Linked DNA regions of Stegostoma tigrinum. The protein of the gene in region 2 interacts with the protein of the main gene of each other region in a pairwise test. Links are inferred from orthologs where the notes say so. Each region holds a gene or a part of one and is shown on either strand. Other genes may lie near its edges.

Evidence for each region.
Region 1: the proteins of txlnba (region 2) and nmi interact in binary tests that used the Homo sapiens proteins (3 or more experiments, as listed by UniProt). The two-hybrid records come from large-scale screens. The link is inferred for Stegostoma tigrinum from reciprocal best matches to the Homo sapiens genes TXLNB and NMI.

The regions. Positions count from the first base shown.
Region 1 is NC_081360.1:86,436,357-86,447,489, reverse strand, and holds the start of nmi (N-myc-interactor), read left to right. Parts: upstream 1-5,583; 5' UTR 5,584-5,668; intron 5,669-11,133. Other genes in the region: parp14rs3 (protein mono-ADP-ribosyltransferase PARP14), read right to left, coding at 5,287-5,455. UniProt on the Homo sapiens protein: Acts as a signaling pathway regulator involved in innate immune system response.
Region 2 is NC_081362.1:90,530,425-90,541,274, reverse strand, and holds the start of txlnba (beta-taxilin), read left to right. Parts: upstream 1-6,506; 5' UTR 6,507-6,607; intron 6,608-10,850. UniProt on the Homo sapiens protein: Promotes motor nerve regeneration. May be involved in intracellular vesicle traffic.

The DNA of each region.
Region 1 (11,133 bases), on a different chromosome or scaffold from region 2:
TATTGTAATATTTATCACTCATCTCTAATTGTTCTCAAACTGAGTGGCTTGCCAGGCCATTTCAGAGTGCAGTTAAGAGTCAACTACATTGTTGTGGTTCTGGAATCACAAGTTGGTCACTCTACACAAAGGTTAGCCAAATTCCTTCCCATTAGTAAGGCAACCAGGCATTTAAAATGGTTTAATTCTCAGATTTTTACTGAATTCAAATATCACTATTTCCCATAGTGTAAATTGAATCTATTTCTCCAAAGCACTATTCAGGGATTCTGGATTATGAGACCTGCGATATTAGTTCTAATCCCGAGTACTTTCAGACCTGGGTCATTAAATGGTCAGGAAAGTGTAACCTGAAGCATCTAGACTTCTAAGATGCATTTCCAGAAGGCACAGACCCCAGCACAAAGTCAAATCCTAACATCAGAATGTAAATTAAAGATCAACAGGAAAAACACAAAAGCTTTATGCACTGATCTAATTATACTGACTTGGCCACATTTGGAGCCTTCTGTGGTCTAATTAGCACTCTACAGGAAGGCACAGAGACTCCGAGATGGATTCAGAGCCAGTAGTGAGGCTGAACATTGTAAATTGCATACTTCTTCCCCTAACAAGTCAAGCAGATGAATTACAGGGAAAAAAAAATACATTAGATTGAGCCTAGGAAGAAGGCAGGACCTTTTCAATGTATAAATTATTAAATTCTGTAGATGAAGTCAACCTAGAATATTGCAAGTAATTTCAGGAAGTTAGATCAGATCACACGCATTTGTAGCGGTGCAAAGTTGTATTGACGCAGATTTTAAGCGGATTTTTGCATTGAAAGGCGAACGTCAAGCATATGCAATATTCTACTAGCCACATATTATGTAAGAACTGCAAGTGCTGTAAATCAGAAACAAAAACAGAAGTTGCTGGAAAGGCTCAGCAGGTCTGGCAGCATCTGTGAGGAGAAATCAAAGTTAACATTTTCGGTCTAGTGACTCTTCCTCAAAACCCAGATAATATGTTAGTAATCATTGCAAATGATGTTGAAGGGTGAAATTGGAGAAGATCCAAAAGGCCATTATGTCAAATGACATATCTTGTTTATTACTCTTATCCTTCCATGATAAATATTTCGAGTAAGGTCAAGGTACGTTCAAAAAGTAACTAGGTGATTTCCCTGTGATAGTGTGAACTGCAGATGCTGGAGAATCCAAGACGATAAAATGTGAGGCTGGATGAGCACAGCAGGCCCAGCAGCATCTCAGGAGCACAAAAGCTGACGTTTCGGGCCTAGACCCTTCATCAGAGAGGGGGATGGGGAGAGGGAACTGGAATAAATAGGGAGAGAGGGGGAGGCGGACCAAAGATGGAGAGAAAAGAAGATAGGTGGAGAGGAGAGTATAGTTGGGGAGGTGGGGAGGGGATAGGTCAGTCCAGGGAAGACGGACAGGTCAAGGAGGTGGGATGAGGTTAGTAAGTAGGAGATGGAGGTGCGGCTTGGGGGTGGGAGGAAGGGATGGGTGAGAGGAAGAACAGGTTAGGGAAGCAGAGACAGGTTGGACTGGTTTTGGGATGCAGTGGGTGGAGGGGAAGAGCTGGGCTGGTTGTGTGGTGCAGTGGGGGGAGGGGACGAACTGGGCTGGTTTTGGGATGTGGTGGGGGAAGGGGAGATTTTGAAGCTGGTGAAGTCCACATTGATACCATTGGGCTGCAGGGTTCCTAAGCGGAATATGAGTTGCTGTTCCTGCAACCTTCAGGTGGCATCATTGTGGCACTGCAGGAGGCCCATGACGGACATGTCATCTAAAGAATGGGAGGGGGAGTGGAAATGGTTTGCGACTGGGAGGTGCAGTTGTTTATTGCGAACTGAGCGGAGGTGTTCTGCAAAGCGGTCCCCAAGCCTCCGCTTGGTTTCCCCAATGTAGAGGAAGCCACGCCAGGTACAATGGATGCAGTATACCACATTGGCAGATGTGCAGGTGAACCTCTACTTAATATGGAAAGTCATCTTGGGGCCTGGGATAGGGGTGAGGGAGGTGGTCTGGGGGCAGGTGTAGCATTTCCTGCGGTTGCAGGGGAAGGTGCCGGGTGTGGTGGGGTTGGTGGGCAGTGTGGAGCGAACAAGGGAGTCACGGAGAGAGTGGTCTCTCCGGAAAGCAGACAGGGGTGGGGATGGAAAAATGTCTTGGGTGGTGGGGTCGGATTGTAGATGGCGGAAGTGTCGCAGGATGATGCGTTGTATACGGAGGTTGGTGGGGTGGTGTTTGAGAACGAGGGGGATCCTCTTTGGGCGGTTGAGGTGGGGGCGGGGTCTGAGGGATGTGTTGCGGGAAATACGGGAGACGCGGTCTGTCACTGGGAAAGCACAATAGTTTTTGCATTCATCTCCAATTACTTTCAGTCTCTTCCTGCTCTGGTATTTATATATTTAGATGTGAATTTCCACTTCGGTATTTGGGAGTAACATAGCATTGGGTGTTGGCTACTTGGTAGTGAATTGAATGATAATAAAAATTGAGTGGTTCCTGTAACAGGTGGGTAATTTGCAACATCCCATCTTACAAAGGGGCATTTGTGGTATAGTAGTAATTTCTATACATCTGCATCAGAAACCCTAGGTTCAACCAAGGCGAGATGATGGTTTGCTGGTATTATTGCTGGACTGTTAATCCAAGAGATCCAGGTAATGTGCTGGGATCCCAGATTAATGGCAGATGGTGGAATTAGAGTCCAATTTTTAAAAAATCTGGAATATGATGTTAGGGTTCGGATCGTCTAATGATGACTATGATTTCATTGCCAATTGTTGGGAAAACCCGTTTGGTTCACTCATGTTCTTTAGAGAGGGAAACTGTCATCCTTATCTGGTCAGGCCTACCTGTGACTCCAGACCCACGGCAATGTGGTTAGCTCTTAACTGCTCTCTGGGATGGGCAGTAAATCCTGGTCGAGCCAGTGCTACCTTCATCCCATGACTGAATAAAAAGTGTTCCACCTGCTCTAGTGGTGTGTAATAACATTTCTGTAACAGATTGATTCGAAAATGTCTTCATTTGTAAAAGAAAAGGCAATTTAGTTACATGATTTCTTGTCACATAAGAATTAGATCAACTGTTTTATTCCTGAATTGGAAAGTGAAAATCTACCTTGCAGTAAGAACACCCCTGATCATCCACCATTTATCACCTCTAAGCCCTTTCTTTCTAAGATAACAAGTGATGTGCTGGATGAACATAGCAGGCCAGGCAGTATCTGAGGAGCAGGAAGGCTAACGTTTTGGGCCCAGACCCAAAGCGTCAGCCTTCCTGCTCCTCTGATGCTGCTTGGCCTGCTGTGTCCATCCAGCTCTAGACCTTGTTATCTCAGATTCTCCAGCCTCTGAAGTTCCGACTATCTCTGAAACAATTTTTACCCTTTCTTTCTCTTTCTTTTCGGTAATGGACTGAAAATAACATTATGTGGAGGTGCTAGTATTGGGCTGGGGTGGGCAAAGTCAGAAGTCACACTACACCAGGTGCACCTGATAAAGGGGCTGCCCTTCAAAATCTTGTGTGGTTCCAAATAAGCCTGTTGGATCATAACCTGGTGTCGGACGATTTATCATTAGGTACAGCTGGGAGGAATAGAGGAAAATTCAGAAATAAAAGCAGGAACTGCTGGAGAATCTCAGCAAGTCTGACAGCAACCGTGGAGAGAGAAACAGAATTAACGCTTTGAATGCAGTATGACTCTCGTTAAGGATGTCCCAGTTTCAAAACATCCATTCACTTGTTGTTAAACAAAACTAATTCCTTCGCCTCCGCTGCATCTGCTCCCAGGATGAGGCATTCCACTCCTGTACATCCCAGATGTCCTCGTTTTTCAAGGACCACAACATCCCCTCCGCAGTGGTTGAGAACGCACTCGACCATGTCTCCCGCGTTTCCCGCACTTCATCCCTCACACCCCACCCCCGCAATAACCGCCAAAAGAGAATCCCCTAGTCCTCACATACCACTCCACCAACCTCGGGATACAACGCATCATCCTCCGACACTTCCGCCATCTACAATCCGACCCCACCACTAAAGACATTTTTCCAACCCCACCCTTGTCTGCCTCCCAGAGAGACCACTCTCTCCGTGACTCCCTTGTCCGCTCCACACTCCCCTCCAACCCCACCACACCTGGCACCTTCCCCTCCAACCACAGGAAGTGTGACACTTGCCCCCACACCTCCTCCCTCACCCCCATCTCAGGCCCCAAGATGACTTTCCACATCAAGCAGATGTTCACCTGCACATCCGGCAATGTGTTATACTGCATCCACTGTACCCGGTGTGGCTTCCTCTACATCGGGGAAACCAAGCGGAGGCTTGGGGGCCGCTTTGCAGAACACCTCCGCTCAGTTCGCAATAAACAACTGCACCTCCCAGTCGCGAACCATTTCCATTCCCTCTCCCATTCTTTAGATGACATGTCCGTCATGGGCCTCCTGCAGTGCCACAATGATGCCACCCAAAGGTTGCAGGAACAGCAACTCATATTCCGCTTGGGAACCCTGCAGCCCAATGGTATCAATGTGGATTTCACATGCTTCAAAATCTCCCCTCCCCCCACTGCATCCCAAAACCAGTCCAACCTGTCTCTGCTTCCCTAACCTGTTCTTCCTCTCACCCATCCCTTCCTCCCACCCCAAGCTGCACCTCCATCTCCTACGTACTAACCTCATCCCACCTCCCTGACCTGTCCGTCTTCCCTGGACTGACCTATCCCCTCCCCACCTATACTCTCCTCTCCACCTATCTTCTCCTCTATCCATCTTCGGTCGGCCTCCCCCTCTCTTCCTATTTTTTTCAGAATCCTCTCCCCATCCCCCTCTCTGATGAAGGGTGTAGGGCCGAATCGTCAGCTTTTGTGCTCCTAAGATGCTGCTTGGCCTGCTGTGTTCATCCAGCTCCATACTTTGCTATCTCGGATTCTCTAGCATCTGCAGTCCCCATTCTCTCTGATATCAATCTTTCAAATGGTGTCAAATTGATGCAACTAATAGTTAGAAACGAAAATGCCTCACACAGATAACAAGTGTCTTAATATGACGCCTCAGAATAGTGGAAGCGTATTATTCTAAAAAAAACACATTAAAAATTTGATCAGTGTGAAATTGCACTGCATATATTTTCAAATCAATCTGTTTAAAGACACCCCTCTGTAACTGCACTGAATAACCGGTACAAATGAAAGCCTCCTTATCTAGACAAATGATCGCTTGGTGGCACACGGAACTTTTCGCCTATTTTTTCAGCATTAGAGTCTTACCCTGTTTATTTTGAAAGTAGATCAGGAATTTCCTCCGATCTTCGTGCGCTTTGATCTCACATTCCCCTCCACCGGATCTCTTTTTGCTTTGGAAATAAATGGCGAGTTTACTTTTGACAGAGTCCAGCTCGACAGGCAGACCCTCCACTAACACCGGGAACCCTGCCATCCTTTCTCCTTTCTGGCTTGGCTGGGCTGAGATCACAGCCTCAACCTTGCGTCCTGTCAACACTGTCTGCTGGGGAAAGACGGGGGGAGGATGCAAACTGTGAGACCACCTCTTAGGGCGAACGCTGTTTACAGCTTACTTCTCCTCTGATCATTGCTCGGAAACATACGTCCGTGATGAGAATCGAAAGTGAAAGATTATAGGACTAAACGTGTGAGTGACTTTATATGGCGAGAGCCAATGTGTATTTAAAAATAACCAATGCCACCCAGGAAATTGTTGAATCGGCTCAGGTTCCAGCTTTCCGGTTGGTTCCCATCTGGTTGTCAAAGAGATGGTCATGACTGCTAGTTGTCCACTTTACTCACAGAGCCCAAACTCAACAACAACTTGCATTTACATGGGGCACTTTGATGCAGTGAAATGTCCCAGTGCGCCTCACAAGGAAGTCAGAAAATGAAATTGGTGACCGATGGAGACAATATGAAGAGAGGTGACTAAAAATATAGGTTTAGGGAGTTTGAAAGAAAAGACAAATTTGAACATGGGATGTAGGCGTCACTGAATGGGCTAGCTTGTATTCCCTCATTGCTTCTTGACCTGAGTAACTTGCTGGGGCCACTTCAGAGGGCAATTAACAGTCAACCACATGGTTGTATGCCTGTAGTCACATGTTGGCCAGACCAGTCAAGATAGTCATAGACATATAGAACTGTACAGCGTGGATACAGGCCTTCCAGTCCAACTGGTCCATGCCTACCAGATATCCGAAGTTAATCTAGTTCTATTTGTTAGCATTTAGCCCATATCCCTCTAAAACCTTCCTATTCATATCATTCCTTCCCCAAAGGATATTAGCCAAGTATGTAGGATTTTCCTGACAACTAACAGTAGTTACATGATCACTGTTATTTTTCGTTCCACATTTTTATTTAATTCAAATGTTAACAGCTGGCTTGGTGAGATTCAAACTCCTGCGCCCACATGAGTCAGGGATTCTGGATTACTAACACTACCACTACACCACTTCCTCTCCTAAGGTCAATTTAGACAGAGTATCCTGTTACTGTTAGAGGAGCTATTTCAATCTGTAATTCTTCTGAAAATGAGAATTCAAGGGAGACAAAGGTTTCACAGAATTGTAAGACCAGGGGCGCCCATGGAGGTGTTTGCAAGTAGGCATAATAATTTAAACATCACCGGCAAGGACCCTATGTGAGTTAACCCGTGCTAAGGACTTTGTGGGGGTAAAAGACTGAATGTCCTGCCACCTTCTGTGCTCTTGCTTTGAATCCCAGAACTCATATAGTATAGAAGCGGACCACTTGCCCCACTGACCCTCTGAGGAGCATCCCACCCCCTACCCCATCCCTGCATTTTCCACCCTAGACACTATGGGCAATTTAGCATGGCCAATCCACCTATCCTGCACATCTTTAGACTGTGGAAGGAAATCCACACATATATCGGGAGCACATGCAAACTCCACCCAGACTGTTGCCCAAGGCTGAAATTGAACCCAGGTTGACTGGTGGTATGAGGTAGCAGTGCTAACCACTGTGCCACCAGGTGACTGCTGGATTAAGAGGTTAAAATGGAAGAACTTCATCCCTTCAGGATTAAGGAGGCAGAGAAAGAGGTAGCTTTAGGAGCATTCCAAGGCGACTGTGTTGAGGCTAAGCTTGCTTAACCTTAGGCTAGTCACATGTAAACAAGATACCATCACGGGTAATGTGTGGTTCTACCAAAAAGAAGATTAACACAAAAGCCTGCAACATTTCACAGAATGTTTTCAGCTCCTGGGAGGCCAATGACCTATCATACCTGCGTTGGCGCTCTGAATGAGTGATGTCCACTCCCCCGCTTTAAAACAATTCCTCCAAACCTATGAAATCAGAAGCTTCTTCGAATCTCTCAGTGGTGAAAAGTTGTCATGCACCAATATAATTAATGTCAAGTGGCAGATTTGTTCTCTTAGTTAGTCAAACATTCTTCAGAGTTCTGTGAAGTCTGCTTCTTGAGTAATGCTACACTGATCACTGGTATTTGGCTTTGGAGTTTGAAGTTCTTTGATGTACTGTAGATGTTTGAGGATGAAGCATCACTTCTGCGTGGATTTGAGAAATGTTTGTTTCTAATAATGCACACTGGTCCACAAAGTATTGGTCTCTCTTCTCCAAATATACTCACCACATTCCCTTAGTTTTGAGTGGTGGTCTGCCTGCATCATGTAATGCTCCATTAGAACGTTGTAGCTTCATTCTCCTCAGCTAATGGATTTTCTGAACTAATAAGGTTAGATTTGGAGTTCGAATTAGAATTAGATGTTATTGTCACATGTATTCAATTATTGGAATGCAGGAGTACAGTGAAAAGTGCACAATGTCACCATTCCAGGTGACATCTTAGTACCCAGGTACAAAATCTTAGACAAAGTAGAAAAATAAGGAGATAAAGCTAAAAGTTCAACATTGTCGTCCTTCTTAGTGTAAAGTAGAAAAATAAAGTTAAATGTTCAACATTGAAGTCCTTCTTAAGTGCTTAGCCATGCTGGGCTCGCATTCCCCACAAGGGTTTGATCTCCTCCACATTGGGCTCAATCTCCCCAGGCTCATCACTGTCACAGCAACAGGGAGACCTCGATTGCTGCTGCACTGGGCTCGATTTCCCCCCGTGCTGGGCTCATTCTCTTCTATGTTAAGCTTGCTCTCCTCCAATTTGCTCTCACTCTGTTGTTCTCCCCCACATTCTCTCATTGTACCCCACACTGGATTGCCTTCCTCCACAGAAGATATGTAGAAGGTAAGTAAGTAAGAAGGTGATTTGCCCCTGTGTCAATAAGACCATAAGTCATTGGATAATAAACTACCTCCGACAACATGGGACAAAAACAAAGTTGCTGGCAAAGCTCAACAAGTCTGGCAGCATCTGTGGAGGAGAAAACAGAGTTAATGTTTCGGGTCCGGTGACACTTCCTCAGAACTGTTCTGAGGAAGGGTCACAGGACCCGATACATTAATTCTGTTTTCTTCTCCACAGATGCTGTCAGACTTGCTGAGCATTTCCAGCAACTTTGTTTTTGTTCTTGATTTACAGCATCCGCAGTTCTTTTGGTTTTTATTTAGTATCCGACACCATGGGCTTGTATTTAATAAGCAGTCTGATGTGTGGTACCTTAACTGACACCTTTGAAAACACAAGTATATTACATTTATTGCATCCCTTTTATTTATCTTGCTTGTTACTTCTTTAAAGAATTATAGTAAATTTCTCAGGCATTATTTCCCCTTCATGAAGCCATGCTGGCTCTGCCTGATCATATTATATATTACTAAATGTTCTACTATTACCTCTAATAGACTCGAACATTTTCCCACAACAGACGTTAAACTAACCTGTTTTTTCATCTGCTTTCATTTGTAAGTAAAGGTGTTTCACTGGCAGTTTTCTAATCCTCTGGGGCTTTTCCAGAGACTACGATTCTGGGAAAAATACTAAGAGTACATGCACAATTCCATCGGGTCCAGGGGATTCAACAAACTTTAGTCTTAGACCCTTCTTCAGAAATGGGGGAGAGGAAGGGGGTTCTGAAATAAATAGGGAGAGGGGGAAGGCGGATAGAAGACAGGTCAAAGAGATTGGGATGGAGCCTGTATAGGTGAGGGTAGCTGGGGAGGTAGGGAGGAGATAGATAAGTCAAGGCAGGATGGACAGGTCAGGGAGGTGGGATGAGGTTAGTAGGTAGCAGATGGGGGTGGAGCTTGAGGTGGGAGGAGGTGATACATGGGAGGAAGGACAGGTTAGAGAGGTGGGGACGAGCTGGGCTGGTTTTGGGATGCAGTGGGGGAAGGGGTGATTTTGAAGCTGGTGAAGTCCACATTGATATCATTGGGCTGCAGAGTTCCCAAGCGGAATATGAGTTGCTGTTCCTGCAACCTTCAGGTAGCATCGTTGTGGCACTGCAAGAGGCCCAGGATGGGTATGTCATCTGACGAATGGGAGGGGGAGTTGATATGGTTCGCGACTGGGAGGTGCAGTTGTTTAACGCGAACCAAGCGTAGGTGTTCTGCAAAGCGGTCCCCAAGACTCCGCTTGGTTTCCCCGATGGAGAGGAAGCCACAACAGGAACAGCGGATGCAGTATACCACATTGGCAGACGTGCAGGTGAACATCTGCTTGATGTGGAAAGTTGTCTTGGGGCCTGGGACAGAGTTGAGGGGGAGGTGTAGGGGCAGGTGTAGCATTTCCTGGGGTTGCAGGGAAAAGTGCCGGGTGTAGTGGGGCTTGAGGGGAATGTGGAGTGGCCAAGGGAGTCCCAGAGAGAGTGGTCCCTCCGGAAGGCAGACAAGGGTGGAGACAGAAAAATGTCTTTGGTGGTGGGGTCGGATTGCAGATGGCAGAAGTGTCAGAGGATGATTCGTTGGATCCAGAGGTTGGTGGGGTGATATGTGAGGACTAGGGGGATTCTGTTTTGATTGTTATTGCGGGCAGGGGTTGTGAGGGATGAGTTGCGGAAAATGCGGGAGACACAGTTGAGGGCATTCTCGACCACTGAGGGGGGTATGTTGTGGTTCTTGTAAAACAAGGACATCTGAGGTGTAGGGGAGTGGAATACCTCATCCTGGGAGCAGATGCGGCGGAGGCGAAGGAATTGGGAATTGGGAATAGGGGATGGCATTTTTGCAGGAAGGTGGTTGGGTATTCTAGGCAGCTGTGGGAGTCGGTGGGATTCAAGGTGGTTGCCAGAAATGGAGATGGAAAGGTCCAGGAAGGAGAAAGAGGTATTGGAGATGGTCCAGGTGAACTTAAGGTTGGGGTGGAAGGTGTTGATGAAGTGGATGAAATGTTCAAGCCCCTCGTGCGAGTTGCACTGATTCAGTCATCAATGTAATGGAGGAGGAGGTGGGGTTTAGGGCCAGAGTAGGTATGGAAGAGGGATTGTTCCACGTAACGTACAAAGAGGCAGGCATAGCTTGGGCCCATGTGGGTACCCATGGCCACCCACTTTGTCTGTCGGAAGTGGGAGGAATTGAAAGAGAAGTTGTTGAGTGTGAGGACAGGTTTGACTAAGCGGATGAGGGTGTCGGTGGAGGGGGACTGGTCGAGTCTGCGGGACTGGAAGAAGTGGAGGGCCTTTAGGCCATCTGCATGAGGAATGCAGGTGTATAGGGACTGGACGTCCATGGTAAAGATGACGTGTTGGGGACCAGGGAATTGGAAGTTCTGGAGGACGTGGAGGGCATGGGTGGTGTCATGGATGTAGGTAGTGAATTCCGCCCTCTTCTATCTCCTTCCTAAAATCCACAAATCTGACTGCCCTGGTTGACCCATTGTCCCTGCCTGTTCCTGCCTCACTGAACTCATCTCCACCTATCTGGACTCCATTTTCTCTCCCTTGATCCAGGAACTCCCTACCTACGTCCGTGACACCACCCATGCCCTCTTTTGTTAAAAACTGCACAAAAAATAATAATCAAAATTAAAACAGGAAAAGTCTGCAGGTCCAAATGGATGTGTCTGTGGCTGATCAGAGAGGCAAGGGAGGAGATATAAGCTGCAAGAAAATTAATTTTCAAATCTTTTCTGGCCACAGGTCAAGAGCTCGAGTACTGGAATACTGCTAATATTTCCCATTATTTAAAAGAAGGAGAAATGAATGGATCAGGAAATTAGAGATG
Region 2 (10,850 bases):
CACCTCCCAGTCATGAACCATTTCAACTCCCCCTCCCATTCCACAAACATGTCCATCCTGGGCCTCCTGCAGTGCCACAATGATGCCACCCGAAGGTTGCAGAAACAGCAACTCATATTCCGCTTGGGAACACTGCAGCCCAATGGTATCAATGTGGATTTCACCAGCTTCAAAATCTCCCCTCCCCCTACCGCATCCCAAAACCAGTCCAGTTTGTCTCCATCTCCCTAATCTGTTCTTCCTCTCATCCATCCCCTCTTCCCACCTCAAGCCACACCCCCATTTCCTACCTACTAACCCGATCCCGCTTCCTTGACCTGTCAGTCCTCCCTGGACTGGCCTATCTCCTCCCTACCTCCCCACCTACACTCACCTTTACTGGCTCCATCCCCACCTCTGACCAATCTGCCTCCTCTCCACCTATCTTCTCCTCTATCCATCTTCTATCCATCTTCCCCTCTCTCCCTATTTATTTCAGAACCCTCTTCCCCTCCCCCATTTCTGATGAAGGCTGTAGGCCCAAAACATCAGCCTTCCTGCTCCTCTGATGCTGCTGGGCCTGCTGTGTTCATTCAGCTCTGCATTTTGTTATCTCAGATTCTCCAGCATCTGCAGTTCCCATTATCCCTCCCCAGCAGCATCAGCCCTGTTTGATATTCCAACAGCAGCTGTTTAAAGCTAAACCTAAAAACTAAAAGAAACTAGAAATCCTGGTCTGTGAGAGATGGCCACACCCACACAGGCTGCTTCTATTGTTCCAACTTTAAAATAAAACCCCAAGGCCTCACAAGCTACTTATATTAACACAGACAACTCATTCAATCTTGTTCAATCTGAGGCCAGACATCAACTCCCTGGCACCTCCTCCCACTGCCCCTTGATCAAGACCCCACCTCTGATCACCACACCATCATTGCCCAGATCAACAACAACTTCATCACTTCAGGAATCTCCCACCCACAGCTTCCAACCTGATAGTTCTCCAACCACGCAATGCCCATTTCAACCACCTTCCCAAAGTCCATAAACCTGACTGCCCCAGTCGGCCAATTGTTTCTGTCTGTTCCTGGCCCATGGAGCCCATCTCCTCCTACCTCGACCTCTGTTCTTTCCCCTCTTGTCCAGGAATTCCCCACCTATGTTCAGGACATAACTCACACCCTCCACCTTTTCCAAAACTTTCAATGCACCAACACCTAACACCTCATCTTCACCATGGACATCCAGTCCCTGCACACTTGTATCCCCCACAATGATGGTATAAAAGCCTTCTGCTTCTTCCTGACCCATATGCCCACCCAGTCCCCCTCCACTGACACTTTCATTCACTACACCGAACTAGCCCTCACCCTTAATTTTTTTTGATTCTTCCCACTTTCTACAAACCAAAGGGGTGGCCTTGGGCACCTGCATGGGCCGAAGCTACGCCTGCGTCTTTGTAGAACAGTCCCTCTTCAACAACTACACCGGCACCATCCCTCACATTTTCCTCCTTTACATTGATGATCGTATCAGCGCTGCCTCACGCTCCTGTGAGGAGCTCGAACAGTTCATCAACTTTGCCAATGCCTTCCACCCCACCTTCAACTTCATCTGGACCATTTCTGTCACCATTCTCGTCTTCCTAGGCCTCTCTGTTTCTATCTCCAGCAACCGACTCACCACTGACATCTATTTCAAACCCACTGACTCCCACAATTACCTTGACTACACCTCCTCTCGCCCACCCTCCTGTAAAAATGCTATCACATATTCTCAATTCCTCTGCCTCCACCTCCACTGCTCCTAGGATGAGGCGTTCTACACTAGGACTTCCCAGATACGCTTTTACTTTAGAGACTATAGCTTCCCCTCCTCTGTTATTAACAATGGCCTCAGCCACATCTCCCCCATTTTCCATGCTTCTGCCCTCAAATGCTGTCCCACCAACAACAATAAAGATAGAATCCCCAATCCTCACGTACCACCCCATTAAACTCCAAATCCAATGCATCATCCTCTGGCATTTCCGCCACCCACAACCAGATCCCACCACCGAAAAACCATTCCCCTCCCCATTCCTGTCCACTTTCCACAGAGTCCATTTCTTCCATGACTCCCTCATCAGCTCTACATTCCCCGCCAACTTCTCCACCACTGCCGTTAAAGTGGATGGTAACCGCAACTGCAGGAGTTGCAACACCTGCCCCATGCCTCCCTTCTCACCTCCATCAAAGGCCCCAAACAATCCTTCAGAATCTGGCAGAGATTCACTTGCACTTCATCTAACCTCATGTATTGTATCCATTACTCCCGATGTGGCCTCCTCTATATTGGGGAAGCCAAATACAGAGTTGGGGAATGGATTGCAAAACATCTGTGCTCTGCACGCAGCAACCAACCCGACCTTCTGGTTACCATCCACTTTAACTCTCTCTCCCACTGTCCTGGTGACATGTCCATCCTTGACCTCCTTCACTGGGGGTACATCACCTCATATTTTGCTGGGAGCTTACAGCCTATTGGCCCTGAATATCAACTTCACCAACTTGAAAATCCCATCTCCTCCAGCCTCGCCAACTTCCAACTCACCTATCCACTCCACCCTTCCCAGTGACCCACCACAATAACCCCCTCCCAGCATCCACTTAGCTCCATCCCACCTACTCTTCCCCCCAGCCCCATGGCCATCCATCTATTTATTTCTGGGCTTGCCTCCCCAGCCCTGATGAAGGGTTTTCAGATCAAAACATTGACCTTCCTGTTCTTCGGATGTTGTCCGACCTGCTGTGCTTCTCCAGCTTCACATTTATTGACTCTTGTTCCAATCTCTCTCTTAAAAGAAACCAGGACAAAAATACACCTCTTAAAGCCACAGCATCGTCACATGCCTAACAAAGATATTTAACTTGTAGAATTCCAAATACCATTTACTTCCTTTTGAGCCTCTAATCAGGAATGCTGTACAGATCCTTACCTCCCAATGGATGCTGCAACTGCCGGCTCACCTTCCAGCTCCCTCCTCCTGCAGCACTTCACTTACCAGGTTTGAATTGCTTTACCATTAAGTACAGTTTCTCCTTCGTTCACTTTATGAGTTTGTCTACAGGCCAATTTTTTATTCATATGTTGTAGGCAGCCACCTGCTGTGTGTATGAGTTGTTCTTAAAACCATCAAGTACTTAACAATTGGAAGTTTCTACTCATGAGTCCATTGGAATGCTCATCACTGTTATCTTCTTCAAAGCAACCTTACTACCTGAAGAACTGATGCTCTCTTGTTGATCACCATGTTGCATGGGCTGTGATGCCAAACACTGCCAACTTGTGGTTGGGGTAGTCTGCTGTCACCATCCCCTTGCAAGGCTCTTGTTTGAGCCTGAAGGTCTACAGTGTGATAGAGGGAAAATCGCGCGTGGGTTTATTGGAGATTTCACCAAGATTTAATTGATTGCATGATGGTAATTGGGTAAGGGGGATGTCAGTAAGATAAACTTTATTAGTATAACTATGTGGATCCCTGGGATATAGCTCTCCATTCTACAAGATACTGAGCTGTTCAGACTTTTCCCTATCATCTGTGTGACATCACAGACTCCACTAACAACAGTGTGGGACTACCTACAGCACATGAAACTGCAAGTGATTCGCCATCACCTCCTCAAGGGCAACAAGGGATGGGCAATAAATGCTAACCAGCTGTAATGCCCACATCTCACGAGTGAATTTTTTTAAAAATTGGATGGAACTTAACGCAGTCTCTAATATTTAACTCTTTACACCCGTTATTTCACTCAACACCACATTCTTCTACAAAGACTGCTGTAGGAGCTGTTTTTTGCACCTGAGAGCCTCATTTTAACATCTCACCTTCAGTAGTGCAGCACAGCCCCAGCATTGCTGAGGGAGTGTAAACCTGGATTTGGAGCTGAAGCAGGAGCTGATCTCACAACCTTCTGACTGAGAAGCCCAGCAATGGCTGACTGGAATGGGTGGATTATTAGTTCCTCCAATTGGCAAAACCAGGGCCGTGTGACTTTGGAGCTCCCTGCCTCGGAACGCAGTGAAGGTGGGATCATTGAATGTTTTTGTTGCAGTGGAGGATGGGTTGCCACTCAGCAAGGGATTATCGGGTAGGGGGTTGGGTGGATCCTGAAATTCAAACTACAAACTGTTCAGGCATGCACTAATTGAATGGTGAAGCAGACCAGAAGAACTGAATGGCCCCTCCAATTCTGAATCTTCGTAACTAGTAGGAGGCAGTGGCCTAGTGGTATTATCACTGGACTGTTAATCCAGAGACCCTGACAAAATTCCGGGGACCTGAGTTCAAATCCCACCACAGCAGATGGTAGAATTTGAATTCAATAAATATCTGTGATTAAGAATCTAATGATGATGATAAACCCATTGTCTATTGTCAGGAAAAGCCCATCTGGTTGACTGATGTCCTTTAGGGAAGAGAAGTGCCATCCTTACCTGGTCTGGCCTACATCTGACTCCAGACCAACAGCAACATGGTTGACTCTGAGATGCCCTCTGGGTAATTAGGGATGGCGCCAATAAGGCAGCCTGGCTAGCAACGCCCTCATCCGTGAATGAATAAAAGGGAAAAAAACTCCAGATCAGCAGATTGCATTCCCCTCCAGCTACACCAGACTGAACTCATCCTGAAAGATGGTAGTTTCCAAATGATTTCAGTGTCACGATACGAGTGGTACAGGAGACAGAGGATGTCTAGCCCCTTGAAGCTTATCCAGCTTGTAGTGTGAGCCATCTGTAGCTCCGCACCACTCAATGCCCCCATCCTCCTCACTCCAAATGCCTTGATATTCAGTCCAAATCTATCAATCAGTTGGAGTCTCTACAGCAGTAGCAGTTGATCCTCAGCACTCACTATTAGGCAAGTGATTTCATGTTTCTGCTATCCTTAAGGGAAATCAATGTTGTTTAACCAAACACTGATGCACATTTCATATTTTACAACATGCATTCCCTGTTCCCACTTTGTCATTGTTTGCAGGTGATTACTAGAGAATGACACAATTCAAAGCATTGAAGCAAATTGACTCTGTTGTTAATTCATTTTTTGTGTACATTCTCTGTGTGTGTGTGTGTGTGTGTGTGTGTGTGTGTGTGTGTGTGTGTGTGTGTGTGTGTGTGTGTGTGTGTGTGTGAGATAATGTATATGAGGCTTCATGTGGAAGCGTGTGTGTGCAAGGATGTGTTTGTAAGGACGTGTGCATGAGGATGCGTGTATAAGGGTCTGTGTGAGTGGGTTTTTATATACAGATGTGTAAGGCTGTGTTTGAGGGTGTGTGTATGTGAGGCTGAGTGTGTGTGTGTGTGTGTGTGTGTGTGTGTGTGTGTGAGAGAGAGAGAGGGGAGATGTGAAGCTGTGTGTGTATGTGAGGGGTGGTGCAAGGGTGTGTGTGTGTGTGTGTTGTGTGTGTGCGCGCACGCGCGCACATGCACATGAATATTGAGTGTGTTTTGGTGAGTGTACATGAATATGAGTGGATACAATGACTTGTGTGGGTTTTGGTGTTTGTGTAAGTGAGTGGGAGTATGCCTATGTTGTTGTGATATGTCTGCAGTTTTGAGAGTGAGAGCATATAGCAATATTGGAGAAACAACTCCACAGAGTGAGTACATGCATACATACACTCATCCTGGTCACCAAGTCACCCTTTATTTACACATGAGAAGCCATTGACACTGACCCAGCTCTCTCAGAGCAAGGAGGCCCTCTGACACTCCTGTTTATATCTATCAGTGAGGGCTCCCTGATTGGACCAAGTTAACAGTCCCAATCAGAGAACTCATATTCTGTGAGGTCCAACTGGCTGACCTCATTACAATCATTACAACAGGAGCACACAGGAGCATAGTAGATCATTCAGCCGACTGAGATTGCTCTGCCATTCTAGATCATGGCTGAATATCTCCTTGAAGGCCATTTTCTTGCACTGTCATCACCTTCCCTGATAACTGAGCTTCATGTGAATATGAGCATTTGTGCATGCATGGATGTGTGTGCCTAAGTGTTTGAATAATGTACATATGTGTCAATATGGGTGTATTTGTGTGCGTGTGCATACGTGTCAATATGCATATGTGTTAATATGTGTGAGTTTGTGTGCACACGCATATATGTTTCAATACACATATGTGTCAGTATCTTTGTGTATATGTGTGTGGGCATATGTGTGTGTGTGCATGTGTGCGTGTGTGCCTGTGCGTGTATATGTGAGTATGTGTGTGTGCACGCGTGTGTGTTTATATGTGTATGTGTGTATGCCTGTGTGAGTATGCAAGTCTGCTTAGCCCTGCCAACACTGTCATTAGTGCCTGCAACATGACTCTTCATGTCACTTAAACACTAGTGAGCATTCCAAAACAAAAATAGAGAGCCGCGCATTGGTGGGGAGACAGAGCTGTGATTTAGTTGAGTCATTCCAGGGATCCAAGGACTAGGACTGGTATAATCTCACAGGCCCTTCCCCCTCACTCACTGTTGGCCTGGTGTATTTTTAGCTAATATTACTCCAGCCACGCAGCTTCCTCAGCTGTTCTGTCACTCCAGAAAGTGAGTCTGCCTTCACCAAGTTACACAGCCCAGACTAAGGTGAGTTTACATCTAACTTCTCAATCTGTTGCATGCACAGAAAACAAAGGCAGTGTTGTAATAATATCAGTATTAAAAGACAAAACTAACTTAATCTCTGAATTTGAGAAGGTATAATTGCAGAAATTGAGAGCACGAGGGAAGTTACGGGTGCTGACCCTGTTTTGTCCAGATGTTTTGTTCAGTGGGTACCATGCTAACAAATTTAAACCTCAATTACGCTCCTTCATTTTACAGGCACTATGAAGTAACGATAAAATCAATCAAACAGTCAATAATAAAGATTTTAAATCAGTAGAACTGTGTCACATAGTGTAATTGAGAACATTTAGGTCTCAGGCGACTGGGGGCTAGCCAACGTTATTCCTTTGTTTAAAAAAGGCAATAGAAGTAATCCAGGAAATTATGTCAGTCATAGGGAAATGGTTGGAAAAGATTCTTCGGGACAGACTTTATTCACACCTGGGAAAGTATGGACTTATTAGCTATGGGCTGCATGGCTTTGCGCAGGAAAGGTTGTGTCTCACAAACTTGATTGCATTTTTGAGGAAGTGACAAAATGATTGACGAGGGCAGGGTGGCGGATGTTGTCTACATGGAGTTTAGCAATGCCTTTGACAAGGTCTCTCGTGGCAGGCTGATACAAAGACATGGGATCTGCAATGAGTTGGTCAGATGGACACAGAGCTGGCTTGGTCATAGAAGACAGAGAGTAACTGTGAAGAGTGTTTTTACTGACTAGAGATCTTCGGCCTGTGGGGGTTCCGCAGCTATCAGTACTGGGACCTCGGTTGTGTGTAATATATATAAATGATTTGGAGGAAAATGTGGGCAGTTTCATCAGTAAATTTGTGGATGACACAAAGACGGGGGGAGCTAGAGACAGTGATGAGGATTGCCATAGGATACAGCAGGGTATAGATAGGCTGGAGACTTGAGAGGGGAAATGACTGATGGAGATTAATCCAAACAAACGTGGGATGATGCAATTTGGGAGATCTGATGTAGGAGATAGGTAAAAGGTAAATGGAAGAATCCTTAATAGCATCAACATACAGAGGGATCTAGGCCCACAGTTCCCTGAAAGTGGCATCACTATTGGATAAGGTCATCAAGAAGATATATGGCACACATCATTGCAGCAGAGAGTACAAGATTTGACAAGTCCTGTTGCAGCTGTAGAGAACTTTAATTAGGCAACATTTAGATTATTGCATACAGCTCTGGTTTCCGCACTACCCAAAGGACATGGAGACTTTGGAGAGAGTACATAATAGGTTTGGTAGGATGTTGCCTGGTTTAGAAGGTATTATGAGGAGAGATTGGACAAACGCGGCTTGTTTTCACTTGAACTTCAGAGGCTGAGGTGTGACCTGGTCGAAGTTTACAATATTACAAGAAGCATGGACAGAATGAATAGTTTTTCCCAGGGTAGAAATGCCAATTATTAGGGAATAAGCCAAAAGGAACGAATACAGAAGTTGCTGGAAATACTCAGCAGGTCTGGCAGCATCTGCGAAGGAAAAAACAGAATTAACATTTCAGTTCCACTGGCCCTTCCCTCAGTTCACAGATGCTGCCAGACCTGCTGAGCTTTTCCAGCAACTTCTGTTTTTGTTCCTGATTTACAGCTTCCGCAGTTCTTTCGGTTTTTATTAAGCCAAAAGGGTTAAGTTTAATGGAGATGTGAGAGGGAGGTTTTTTTACACAGAGAGTGGTCAGTGCCAGGAATGAGCTGCCAGAGGAGGTGGTGGAGGTGGACGCAATAGCAACATTTAAGGGGCATCTTGACAGAAACAGGTGATTCTCCAAAACCCAACAGTTGCATTCTTTTGTGACCTTGCGCCATAGAAAATCATGTTATAGGGAAATCGCTGTAGAAAATCATTATACTTGTACAGCAGAAAGTTCACATTATCCAAACTGCATCCACTATTCATCAATCGCGTTACAGTCAATTTGCATTAACAAAACGCGTTTTATGGCAGAACTAGCCCACAGATAGTAGGAACTGCCGATGCTGGTGTCAGAGACAACACAGCGTGGAGCTGTAGGAACACAGCAGGTCAGGCAACATCAGGGGAGCAGGAAAGTTGACATTTCCGGCCAAGACACAACTGAAGGAGGCTGGTACAGTTAAAACAATCCCCTGATATCTCTGTAATCATTTGAATTTTGGACAACTGCTATTGCCTTTACTCCACATTTTGCTACCACACCTGTAGTCATCGAGGCCCTAAAGCCTGGAAGCCCCTCACACATCTTTCCATCTGCCCATATTTCATTCCGACATTGGTTAGGCCACGTTTTGGAATACTGCATTCATTTCTGGTCTCCCTGCTATAGGTTGTTAACTTTGAAAGGGTTCAGTAAAGATTTACAAGGATGTTGCCAGGGTTAGAGGCTTTGAGCTATAGGGAGAGACCGAAAGGCTGGGGCTATTTTCCCTGGAATGTTGGAGGCTGAGAGTTGATCTTATCGAGGGGCATGGATAGGCTGAAGAGCGAAGGTCTTTCCCCGGGGTAGGGGAGTCCAAAACTAGAGGGCATAAATTTAAGGTGAGAGGAGTAAGATTTAACAGGGACCTAAGGAGCAACTTTTTCATGCTGTGGGCAGTGCGTGTATGGAATGAGCTGCCAGAGGAGGTGGTGGAGGTTGGTACAATTACAACATTTAAAAGTCATTGGGACATGTGCATGAATAAGAAGGGTTTAGAGAGATATGGCAAAAACTGGCAAATGGGAATAAATCCATTTAGGATATCCGGTCAGCATGGATGAGTTAAGCCAAAGGCTCTGTTTCCATGCTGCACATCGCTACAACTCTGTGATTCTGTGAGCCCATTAACATGTTTCTACCACTTTGATAGAGATGCACTGACTCAGAGATGAGGGTGCTACCAAACGAACAACGGCTGATGTATAAATCGGCCAAACTAGGAAGTGCTCAGATCTTGGTGGGTTGAAGGGAGGAGGAAAGGGGGAATTACAGAAGTCGTGGGAGCAAGGCAGAGGGTCCTTATTAAAAGCATTAGGTCACGCTGACCCTAGCAAAACAACGAAAGCCAGAGAATTCCTATAATTTAAAAAGGCCTGAGATCCAAATCCAAATGCAGTTTGCGGCCTGCAGTCCCAGGTGTTCATGTCTAATGTGCCATTCTCTTTGGTGTCAACATAATTTCACTTTGAAAATGTTGCTGCGTACATTTTACACCAATATTGGTAAAACTGAGTTGCCTGCATCAGGTGAAACCACCCTAGAAACTACCTCTAAGCAGAGGGGAAAAGATTAAGTCATTTTCCAAACAAATAATGTTGGTGGAATTTGTGGGACAATTTTATTCTGTTTCTCTTATCCCCTGCTCTGTAGTCCCGGAGACAGAAACTTTTCTGGCTCAATTGTCTGCCTTTAAAAGATAGAAAGGAAGGTATTTTTATAATGCTCCAAGTCGGCCAGGTCCTTCAGAAACATTCCAGAGCACTTTGTGTGGATGGAGAATCACACACCCATAAAGCACGTAGAAAGGCCATTCGGCCCATTGTGGAACTGCTGGCCATTTCAAAAAGTTATCCAATTAGCACCAGCTCGCAACTCCGCTCTTCACGCACAGAAGCCAAGTACAGTCAGTTCTGCGATAACATGCGTTTCTTCAACCCAAATTGACTTTAATGCGATTGAAGAATTTAGGCCACTATTTGTAGAACATGAACTTTCCTTACCAGTAGCAGCTGTAAGGTGATTCTGGTCCCATTAGTTTAAATGGTGTGGCTTATAACATGAGATTACATGAGAACAGAACAATCACTTTATATCCGAGCCTTCTGTATTTAACCAATACTTTTTTGAAAGTTATGATTGAAGCTGGTTCTATTAACCTTTCGGACAGCCTGCTCTTGATCACAGGCACTCATCTCCAATAAGGTTCATTCTGGCTCTTTCACCAATTGCCTCAAGCTTGCCCAAATCAAATCTCCTGCTAATCTTCCCTGCTCAAAGGAGAACAATCCCAGCTGATCGAGTCTCCAAACATATCTGAAGACCCTCATCCCTGTACTGGTCTTGCAAAGTTCCCTTGCACGTTCTCCTCTCTGAAACCCTCACATCCTGACCCAGAGCGACCACAATGCATCACAGTTCAATCCCTCATTTGAGCCACTTATGCACACAGCGGCTGCTTTGTCCTGGATGGTGTCGAGCTTCTTGAGTGTTGTTGGAGCTGCACTCATTCAGGCCAGTGGGGAGT